2 linked regions of the Drosophila melanogaster genome follow. The protein of the gene in region 1 interacts with the protein of each later gene in a biochemical or structural test. Each region holds a gene or a part of one and is shown on either strand. Other genes may lie near its edges.

Region 1 (5,281 bases):
GTAGTTGTTCCGCGTGCGAATGACGAGGAAATCGTTGTGAGCCATCTTATGTGGATAAATAGGCGCTCGGTACATGTTGTTCTCAATCGCCTGTATGCACTGGCCAGGATGCAGGATGCCCAGGAAGGGACTTGTGTGCGCAAAGGCCACTTCTCCATAAACAAAATCCTGCGGCCCACTGTCCTTCTCAGCCTTACGCTTGTAGTAGTTCTTTATCTTGGAGCACATGCCCACCTGGTTTATCAGAGGCGGATGCTCTTCGCAGAACTCGGCTAGTACGATGTCTCCGTCCCTTCCGCTTAAATCCTCTGGGTTGCGCATAAAGAAGACGTCTCCGCCACCGGAGGCAATGCGCTCCACTTCGCGCTGCTTCGCCTTCTTTGCGATGGTCTTCAGCAGTGGGAAGACAGGATGAGGGATAGACTGGGCCATTGGCCCGTGGGAGTACTTCTTTAGGGGGGGGCGATGGAAGGCGCGGAGCTTCATCGGGCCCATGTGCGTAGGCACAAACGGAGCTCGCAGCTCTACCACCGGAGTCGAGTGTTGAATAAGATTACCGCCCACCTTAAGTCGTAGGGTGGGTTCTGTCTTCGGTGTGTAGTAACTGAAAGGGAATTAAAATCTGCATTCTGCATCCATTATTATATTAAGAGACTTACGTGTCATTGGATATGTTAAAGGGGTCACGGTCAGGACTTTTGGGTGGCGGCGGAGGTGTGTCCTCCGCAAGCACGTTGATCACACCCGCCTTGCCAAGTAGGATCTTAGACTTTTTTACGTGAGGATGCGGTATCTTGATCTTAGGTGGAGGACCCGTGCTCTTATTGATTTTAGAGGGATCTATGTCATCAGGAATACCCAAAATGATGTTTTCGTCGTTGGGATCCAAAGTGAGTACCTTCGGCTTGGGCACCTTGCTCACTTGCTGGGCATCCCAGATTACCTCGTCCTCCCACTTGTAGTATATTAGCTCCTCATTTTCAACTGGAAAAAGGCTATACCAGGTGTCATCAGGTGCCTCCGCTGGCTTTGCTTGAGCACTAAAATCGATTGAAATATTAGTGTAAAATACGTATGAATTCAACTTTCAATTAATTACTTTTGCTGGGCCTTTTTGCTTGATGCTCCCGAACCCTGCTTGGAGCTTCCACTTCCCACGGGCATAGACGGTTTGCCCGGCTGGCTAAAGGCGCCAGCCGTTCTCGACCCGCTCGAGGGCAACCATCCGGCTGCATTTGTCTTTGAGTTAAGCTTTTGGAGCACCTTTGCCTTGATGTCGTTACCGTCCCAGACCACGTCGTCTTCCCAATGCAGCTGGGAGACCATGAGAAAGGCATCATCCGCAATGCTTGGATCTTCGACATCATCTTCTGGACTCTTTACACGGCGTTCATCTTTGAGTTGCGGCTGAGACGAGGTGCTTGCTGCCTTTGTCTTGAAGCCATAGTTGAACCCCTCTCCAGAGTCGGGCACCTCTAGCATATCATACCAAATCTGTGCAGGCCCGAACCGCCAGTCAGCCACCTTTGGCTTCTGATCGCTGTTCTCGCCGTTGTCCGGTCCTTCTGGACGCACATCCTCGCTGTTGAAGTCGCCCAGCAATTTGTCCTCGTCGTCGGACATGCACTCCGCTGGCGTTGGCTCTGCAGCATAGTGCAGACTGAAGCCCCGCTTTCGTGGCTCCTCAGTATCGCTTGGAGAGTCCGAACCACCAGTGTTTGTCGTCTGAAATGGTTTACGAAAAGTTTCCTGGTGATCCCGTCCCGTTTAAAAGTACTCTGATCTTCTACCTTCTGATCCCTGGATTGATTTCGCTTGCGGCGGCGTTTGCGCACGTGTCGCCAGATCTGGGGCAAACTCGTGGGTTTACCGGGTCCGAAGAGACGGGAGAAGCGTAGCACCTTTTGGGGACGAAAGTCCGGAAAGAGCTCACGCACATCCACATTCTGGTACTTGGACGGCAGTATGTCTGCCAGTGGTGTGTCCAGCTTCCGATCCGCATCTTAAAGGAATGACCATTGACAAAAAAATTCTATTGTTTTCAAATAATTTTTACCCTTTGAATCGGTAGATTTGGAATCGTCACTGGGACTAGATGCATCATTTGACTTGGCCGGTTCCTCGATGCCGCCGCCAGAGCCGGAGCGCATTGGTGCACTTGGTGGAGGCATTAGTTCCTTGTCGTCCTTAGCTGCAACAAAATGTGAGTTATTCTCTCTGTATAGCAATAGGTCTGAACCCAACCTGAGCGGTGCAAAAGTAATCGTGTCACTTTGACAGGAATTGCATAGACCTTTAAAAATTTGAGCAATATCCTCTCCTACCAGTGTTAACTGGTTAAATTAAATGTCATCAAACCGTTGTAGATTACGGTCTTACTTACTCAACTTGGCCTCTACCTTGGAGGCGGGAATGGCGTCTTCTAAGTCATCATAAGTGCTTGTTTCTTCGGGCGGAGTGCGTGGGCAGTCCTCGGATAACTCGGTGATGTCAGAGTAGTCAATGGCATCGTCCTGAGCCTTTACGGCGCCATCCTCCCTTTTAACGCCCGCTTTGAGCGCATCAAAGGCACTCATTCCTTCGCTGGCACTGACGGCTGACGGTCTGGCGTCCTCCTCTTCCTCGTCATCCGACGGAGGCTCGGCTTCCTTGAGATCGATAACCTCGAGCAGCATAGAATCCAGACCCAATCTGAAAGTAATCCATACGCAATATGAATGGAAATGTAATTAAAAGTGTCTTATATCTTGTGAATTAAGATATATTTGAATGATACCGGGTTTACATATGTATGTACAAGCATGTGTACTCACTTGGAAAGGGAACCAATGTTTTCCCGGAGCTCCGCATCGAAACCGGTGCCCCCGCGCCCCTCTCCGTCGTCATCTTGCAGCAGTCTGCCCTCGGAGTCGATGTTGCCGAAAAGAATGCCGGTCAAGTCCAATCCATTGCCGATCGATCCCTCATCGTCGCTGTTGTCAGATTCCATCTCCATTTCTATGGGCTTGCAATGTTTACGCGGCTAAAGTATATTTTCTTCGACGGAGTGTAATTGCATTTTTCACACGCGTAAGTGTGACCGTCGATGGACAAAGCAAAGATGCCTCATGGCTCCCCACTGGCACCAGAAAATCCGCGATTAGATTTGGACAAGGGTTGGGAGCTTGGGAAGGTCAATTGCGTTTTGTACCGAAGGTTAGTGTCCAACAAAAAGGGCTCTGTAATATTTTTAATTGGCAATTTTGTACCATGTATGGCATACGTGGATTTTTATTAAAAAATATATATTCCTTTGATATTCGTACATTTCATTTGTATAATTATATATTTCTGAATAGAACTTCTGTAAACACCATTAACACGATCACTTTTGTTCAGCTTCTATCAAAATATAACTTTATTCAGCCAAAAATAGTTTATTCAACGCTCATTGGAGAAAAAATGGGCATACATAAGCACTACAATGCCAATTTAGAATTACAGTTCTCAGACCTACATTTGTGTTACGGTTTTGTAACGTTGAAGGAGCTATATTTCTCTATTGTTGTTCAGATTTTACAGAAATCTGTAGCAAACAATCATAACTACTTCAGATAGCAAAAACTTAAACCATCAATTTTTATATATTTCTTATTATTCATTTTTTATTATAAATATATATATGTTTATTTTCAGAAGTCTCTTCTTAACTTGGTTTTACTCAAACGATTTTACCAACTGCGCTTTCTCTAGCTGAGAATCGTTTTAATGATAATCTCGAAGAGACTATCCACAACTTTGGGATTTGTACTGTCACAAATTGTCATATTTGTACCAAAGAACTGCATGGGAATGTAGGATTTTTATATGCAGGCTTTGAACTATTTGAACGGATTAAAGGAAGAGTACGCTGAGCTCACAAATTTAGTCACCTTCAAGAATCCGATCCTGAAACTTTTACATCAAATGAATCTATGGTTTTTCAATAGATTTTCGTTATAAAATGTATTTCTGATGATTAAACCGGCTGAAAATTCGTTTTCATGGCTTAAACTCTAAAGAATCATTTTAATTCAAGGCAGCATTTCTCTAGGACACAAACCAATGCCATTGTGTACATTTTTTTGCTAATCTCTTTCCGTGACCGACTTCATTGTACCTCAAATTAATTATATGTTTTATAACTTACCTTTACCAAGGCTTCTGTTCCCAGATATGGAAAACCACAAAGTGGGAAAATTTAAAGGTAGACTAGTAAAAATCGAATATTTTTTTGTGTTTCGTCTTTTTGGAATTTCCCTTCATTATAAAATGCCTCAAATTAAATTTTCGAAACTTAATTATCCACGCTGAATGAATGATATAATAAAAATAAATATACGTATATTTACGTATACCGACCGTGATCAGGACTTAAGCCACTTTGAAGCTTGGAGATGGGTGGCAAGTATTTACGCTGTTGCAGAAAGAATATGATCATTAAGATGAGAAAGTGGCTGCGAAAAGCAAAGTGAATCTTGTGTTTTTCAGTACAATCCCTCAGAATGTCGCACTTGATATTCGAGTTTTTGTGTAGGACGAGGACTAGAGGGTTACTGCCTGCGATAGCTTTTAGAAAGGTCTACCTAGAGGGGGAATATTTAATGGAATGGCTCTGGATATGCCATCTCCATGCTTAAAGAAATCTATAGTTCTTGTTTCGCTGTATAACGCACTGCTGTTACCTGTCACCAACACGATTATCAGGAGAACTCCATGACATTCCATACATGTGTTTACTAATATCCACATATAGATCGAGATTCGTGTCAGCCCGCACCAAGCCAAGTCCCGTCATTGGGACACGGTCGGACATGGCGGGGCATGGGGGGACATGGAGGGTCACACGTTCATACGGACAATATTGTAAAATTACATGAGATGTTTTTACTTGAGAGGGTATGTAAACTTAGCTTGCCTACGGTACAAAATTTCTTATCGTCCAATAAGGAAACAAATTCTAGTCGATTACCTCGACTATCAGATACTACGCAGCTAAATCAAAATATGGATGGAACATTGATAGATAGCAAAACTAAAATAAAATATTTTTTTCGAATTTGTTAGATTTTTGGCGTTTATCGACGTGTCCAAAATCTGTTTTGCCTAACCAAGTTGCTAAGATACTCAATCAAAATAGGACAATGTTTAAAAAGTGTGGTCGTGGCAGCATCGGACGTCTAGGTTTTAAGAATCTGCGACCTATTTTTCAACTTACTAGCAATTATATTTACCAAAATCACGGACAAACGGACAAACAGAC
Region 2 (5,278 bases), on another chromosome or scaffold:
TCAGATGTTGCTGCTGTTGGAGCTTCTGCTGCTGCTGTTGCTGGTTAGTAGCGGGTTTGTTGTTGTTGTTGGTAGTGGTGGTGGTGGTGGTGTTGGTGGTGGCATTGATACTATTATTGTTATTATTGCTGGATGGGACTGTGGATGATGTACGGACAATCGTTTTGCGCAGTGCAATACTAGTGCTGGCGGTTGTGCTGGTTGCATGTTGCTGCTGTTGCGATTGTTGCTGCTGTTGCGATTGCTGCTGATGTTGTTGTTGTTGTTGGTATCTACTTACAGCTGCAGCCGGCACAGTTTGCAGACGGATCTGTGTGGTTGTGGGATGGTTTGTGGTGCTTGTCGTGTTGCTGTTATTGCTGGTGTTGGTTATAGTCTGTGTCACCGTCGGCGGACCCGTCGTCGTGCCCACGCGCAACAGCTGGAATCCGTTATCCGTCTTGACCAGCAATGCCGGGGTCTGACCCGTATTAAGTGTGCTTAAAGTTATCTAAAAGTAGAGAGAGAAGACAGAGAGACTCGGTTTTCATCTGCTGGAGCATGGTGTGTATGGTGTATGGTGTGAGTGAATGGTGGGCTGTGCACATGCGTGTTTGTGAGGAGCGTGGCTGGGTTAGGGAGCTCTGTGAGTTAGTAGGGAAGAACCCACCACAACAACCATAGTAATAGCAATATTATCCTTCATACTCACCGATGGACTCTGCGGTCTCACGCCCGCCATGTGGGAGTTGATCACCACGCGACTGAGCGGGTTGGTGGGCACATTCTTCTGCTGCTGCTGTGACGGCGCCTGTTGGCGCATGCCCACCACCACGCCAGCCGGCAGCATTGAATTGAGCAGCGGTTGACCGGCCTGGCAAATACGCAACATTATCATTAGTCTATCAATTCATCTCATCACATTTTCAAAGTCTATTTGGACCAAAGGATGCATTAAGAGGTTTTGCGGGATTCTAAATTAGCCTACATCATGCAGCAGTTGGCTCGGCAAAGGACCCCAATTAGTGCGGAAATAAGTTGTTTAACTGATTCTCTCTGTGCTAACCAAATTTGAAGGCGTATAATCTACTATATCTTGTTCTATTTAAAGCGAGCATTGAAAGCAATAGTTCTACAAATGTAATGGTTTGGATATTGGTGTAGAATAAGGTTTCTGTTGAACAAGTGCGTGTTTTTGAACAGTTGTTAGGGATTTGATCTTTGGGAAACTTTTCGGCATTGGGATAAAGTATTTCAAATTAAAGATATGTCTTTTATGGTGATTAAACTGCTTTAAGTTCTAATGAAGTGAATTGATATGACATTCGTAAAAAAAGAAATTAATTTTAAATAAAAGTACAAAAATGAGTGCAACAAACTCAGATATAAGTTTCAGATTTCAACTCAGATATAAGTTTCAGATTTCACATTAATGAATTAAGGATATTTTTTAAGCGTAAAATACGTTATCAAGCCTGGGACTAACCCCATTTGGATAAGGATATGGGAATTTCGGGCAGCGAGGTAGACAGATGAAAGCATAATAAAAGTATACAACCAAAGTGTGTGCGGCCACTACTATCCGATTCGAGCGAGGAATTGAGGGGGTTTTGATTGGGGATCAGATTTGGACGAAGTGATACGCCCGAGTTGCGATCGCCTAGCGCCCGAAGAGTGGGTTTAGCTTTAATATGGATACCTGATTGATGGTCTTGGTCATGGTTACGATTCCTGCTGGTGCACTTGAGACTAGACCCGCCGGCAGGGTGACAGCATGGTGGTTGGATTTAATAACTAGGGTTTGTGTTTGGGTGGCACCTACGGATTGCGTCTGCTGTTGCTGCTGTTGTTGCTGTTGCGACTGCTGCTGCTGTTGGACATGATGCACCTGCTGAAGTCCCTGATGCTGACCACCGATCCCCGCCTGGATCGTCTTGATGGTGGTGGTATTCGGTAGCTGGGCCGTGGAGATGACCGCGCCGGGATTGCCGGCTATGCTGATGGTGCCATTGGGCAGCGGCTGGCTGGTGAAGGTGATGCGATTGCCGGCAGCTGTCTGGCTGGTGTTCATCGTGCTGTGTGGTGTTTATGTTATTGGCGAGTGTGTTTCTCCTATTCCACTGACTTCTGTGTGTTGGTGTGGGCGAGCGATCCTGTTCCGATCAACTAGTTGCGCACATCCTGTGTTGGTGTTGGCGGAGTTGTTGCATGCTGTGCGCTCCAGAAGCGAACTGCAATGCAAGGGGAGGCGCTTTTAGTATTTATACAAGATTCGGCTCGAGGCGGTGGAGAAACAGGTAGGCGGTGGAGGTGCTACCTGACCGCCGGCTACCTGGCGGCCGTGCGCCATAAACCAGATGCTGCGTACACCTGGATGCCGCGCACAGGTAATCGCATTCACCTTGGCCAAAAAAGCGGGTGCTCCGCTGAATTGGTGCTGCGCTGGCTCACTCGCACTCGCCTTTGCCGTCACTGTCGTCGGCCTTTCTCCTGGCGCATCCGTTGCAGTCGTTGTCGCGTGTGTGTTATCTCGCTAATTCGCTGCCTTTTGTTTGCGCCGCTAAGCCTTTCTACACTTTTCCCGATCGGCGGGTTTTCCTGCGCACACACACACTCGCGCGTGCTCGCACGGACTGATTGTTGAGCACTGGAAGAATGCTTTATTTTGATTATTTTGATGTACAAAAAATTTGGCAGCGACGGTGCCAGAACGCCGCCATTTTCACGAATGCGCGTGCAAAGCGAAAATCGAGGCTGGTGGACGTTGCCAGATAGCGTGCGAAAAACACGTAACCAACGATCTGGCAATGCCGCTCGTTTATGCGGGTGGCGAGTGCGCAATATTCGTGAATGCACTAAATTTAAAAAAAAGTTCAACTCGAAAGTGGAGCACTTAATAATTGATGATTTCTATTAGGAAAAATTCATATTTTTCGAAAATCCGCATAAAAATATTTAAAACAAAAAGAAAACAAATGCATCTTGTACATGTCTCCAGTGGCAATATGGAGCATCGTGCCAGCCGTAGTATTAGTAATTTCTACTTTAGTGGCCAGCGGGTGGTGGCATAAACCCACGTCCGTGTCTGTGCGACTGTGTGCGTGTGTTTCAGTATAGGTTTTGTACAGCCTGCAATGTCGGGGGAAATTTTCTGGGCCCTGTGGCAGATGCACTCACTTCAATTCATTTTGCGTTCAAACTCGGTGCACTGGGGCGCATTTTAAACGATTTCCCGTTGCGTTTCTCTGGCGATTTAGCCGAAAACCGAGTAAATATTGTTTACGGACCGCCGAGGTACGGACGAGTTGTGCAGTGTGACCGTTGGCGACAATATCGTCGTGTTAAACGCGATACCGAATTAAAATACTAGAAAAGAAGTAGTGACTTGGATATCATGTCGATTTTTTATAGCCTTGTTGCGTACATTTTCAAAACCAAAAACGTTTGCTGGCATTTTGATGCCATCGGATTTTAGCCGCATACCAAATTAATTATATGCTCATTAGTTTTTATATGGGTAATAAGCCACAATTTTTAAGGATCAAAATAATTTATTTTAATACATTCGAATACGATACATTTTAAATCCTTTGAACTATTATTAGAGTACTGTTTAAAGCTGAATGTTAGGTAATTGAATAAATGAAGAATACGCTCAAAAATTAGAAACTACTAAAACTATTATTAGAGTACTGTTTAAAGCTGAATGTTAGGTAATTACAGAATTGAAGAAAATGCTCAAAAATGTTATTATTTTTTTATATTTAAACGCTATTTGCTCATATACTTAAATCATATATATATTCAAACGAAGGAGTAGTACTTTGTAACGGTCAAACAATCGATAGTTCCACTTTGATACCGAACTACATGCCCCACCACCAACGTGATGGTATTTTTGTTAGTTTTCGGTATCTTTGAAATGCTAAACTTCAGCACAACGGGCAAAATAATTCTGTAGAGCGAGTTAAATACATATCGTACAAATAGCGGTCTTAATAAAATAGACCATACCAATTTTAATATTAAACAAATTCCGTTAAATAAGCAACATATATAGTGTAATGGTATATTTTCCAAAAACTTCCAAAAATAAAAAGTGGTATTTGTTTCAAGTCGGGCTCAACATAGTATGATTATCCGATTACGCTGCGGTCACACTAGTACCGGCCCATAGAGACGGAAGAAAAATTTTATTTAACCGATTTCAGGTAATTGCCATTTGCATTAACTGTTTTTTAACCATGCACAACTAGGGCTAAAATGCCGTTGGAAAAGAGATCGCCACGTGTGCTCACTCGCATGTGGGCCAGACACGCGAAAAGTGCGTCCAAAGCTGCGGGGTAAAAATCGATAGAGAAAAGCAGATGAAAAACGGATGGGAAAGTGGTGGGGGGAGCTCCTTTCTCAACATGACGTGACTAAGACCACTTTGCTTTTACAGCTATAAACAGGCTATTACTCGGAAAGCACATATAAATTCCCGAATAAATCCGCATTCGAAGTCCCATAAATATTGACAGTCAGTCGGATAGGACAGCTAATGTAAGTAGAGCACTTGGTGGGGATGGGGGCAGGTCCAAAATGCAAATGCAAATGCCAATGGTAAACTAGTAAACCGCAGACAGATTGTCAAACAAATTCGATTTTCGTAATTGCAGCGCACCGCGACAATGGCCAACAACAACTACGCCGGGTTTAACTACGGCGGCACCCAGTACAATACGGGCCAAGTCTCGTACCCGGCGGTAACCAATGCCACCTACGCGAATGCGGCCGCCTATCAGAATGCCGCTGTGGCCGCCGGACAGGGTGGTTATGGCGGAGCAGCAGGAGCGGGCGCTGGCGCCACCTCTGGCCCTGGGGCGGGGGGTTATGGTGGCTACGGCGACTATCGAAGTGCCATGCAATACGACGCCACCAAGACATTCTATCAGCAGTCGCCGGCCAGCTACAACGCCTCCGGTTCGACAGCCTCGGTCAGCAAGACGCACTACTCGGCTCCGCCAGTCAAGAATCAGGTCAAGGGCAAGATGGACAAGTCGAACGGTGGTCCCAAGCCCCCTAGTTCGGCTCCTCCGGCGGGCAACAATTACAGTGGCTATGATACAGCACTCTACAATGCGGCAAGCATGTATGTGGCCCAACAGCATCAGGGCAATCCAAACCAAAAACCAAATGGCGGCGCCAATAACTGGTATCAGCGTAAGATGGGAGCCACCATACCAGGAGCAACGGCCATAAGGGGTATGCGTCCGAAGGCACCTCCACGTCCCCAGCAGCTGCACTACTGCGAAGT

What was found.
Region 2: the proteins of Taf1 (region 1) and Taf4 form a complex in vitro, tested with the Drosophila melanogaster proteins (one study listed by BioGRID).

Annotation. Positions count from the first base shown.
Region 1 is NT_033777.3:6,644,704-6,649,984, reverse strand, and holds the start of Taf1 (TBP-associated factor 1), read right to left. Parts: upstream 3,097-5,281; 5' UTR 2,996-3,096; coding exon 2,814-2,995; intron 2,692-2,813; coding exon 2,384-2,691; intron 2,321-2,383; coding exon 2,057-2,320; intron 2,003-2,056; coding exon 1,791-2,002; intron 1,726-1,790; coding exon 1,100-1,725; intron 1,041-1,099; coding exon 660-1,040; intron 605-659; coding exon 1-604. UniProt on the Drosophila melanogaster protein: TFIID is a multimeric protein complex that plays a central role in mediating promoter responses to various activators and repressors. Largest component and core scaffold of the complex.
Region 2 is NT_037436.4:16,111,244-16,116,521, reverse strand, and holds the start of Taf4 (TBP-associated factor 4), read right to left. Parts: upstream 3,311-5,278; 5' UTR 3,157-3,310; intron 2,733-3,156; exon of another isoform or gene 2,638-2,732; 5' UTR 2,381-2,637; intron 2,215-2,380; exon of another isoform or gene 2,211-2,214; 5' UTR 2,051-2,210; coding exon 1,679-2,050; intron 854-1,678; coding exon 692-853; intron 491-691; coding exon 1-490. Other genes in the region: Zn72D (Zinc-finger protein at 72D), read left to right, coding at 4,653-5,278. UniProt on the Drosophila melanogaster protein: TFIID is a multimeric protein complex that plays a central role in mediating promoter responses to various activators and repressors.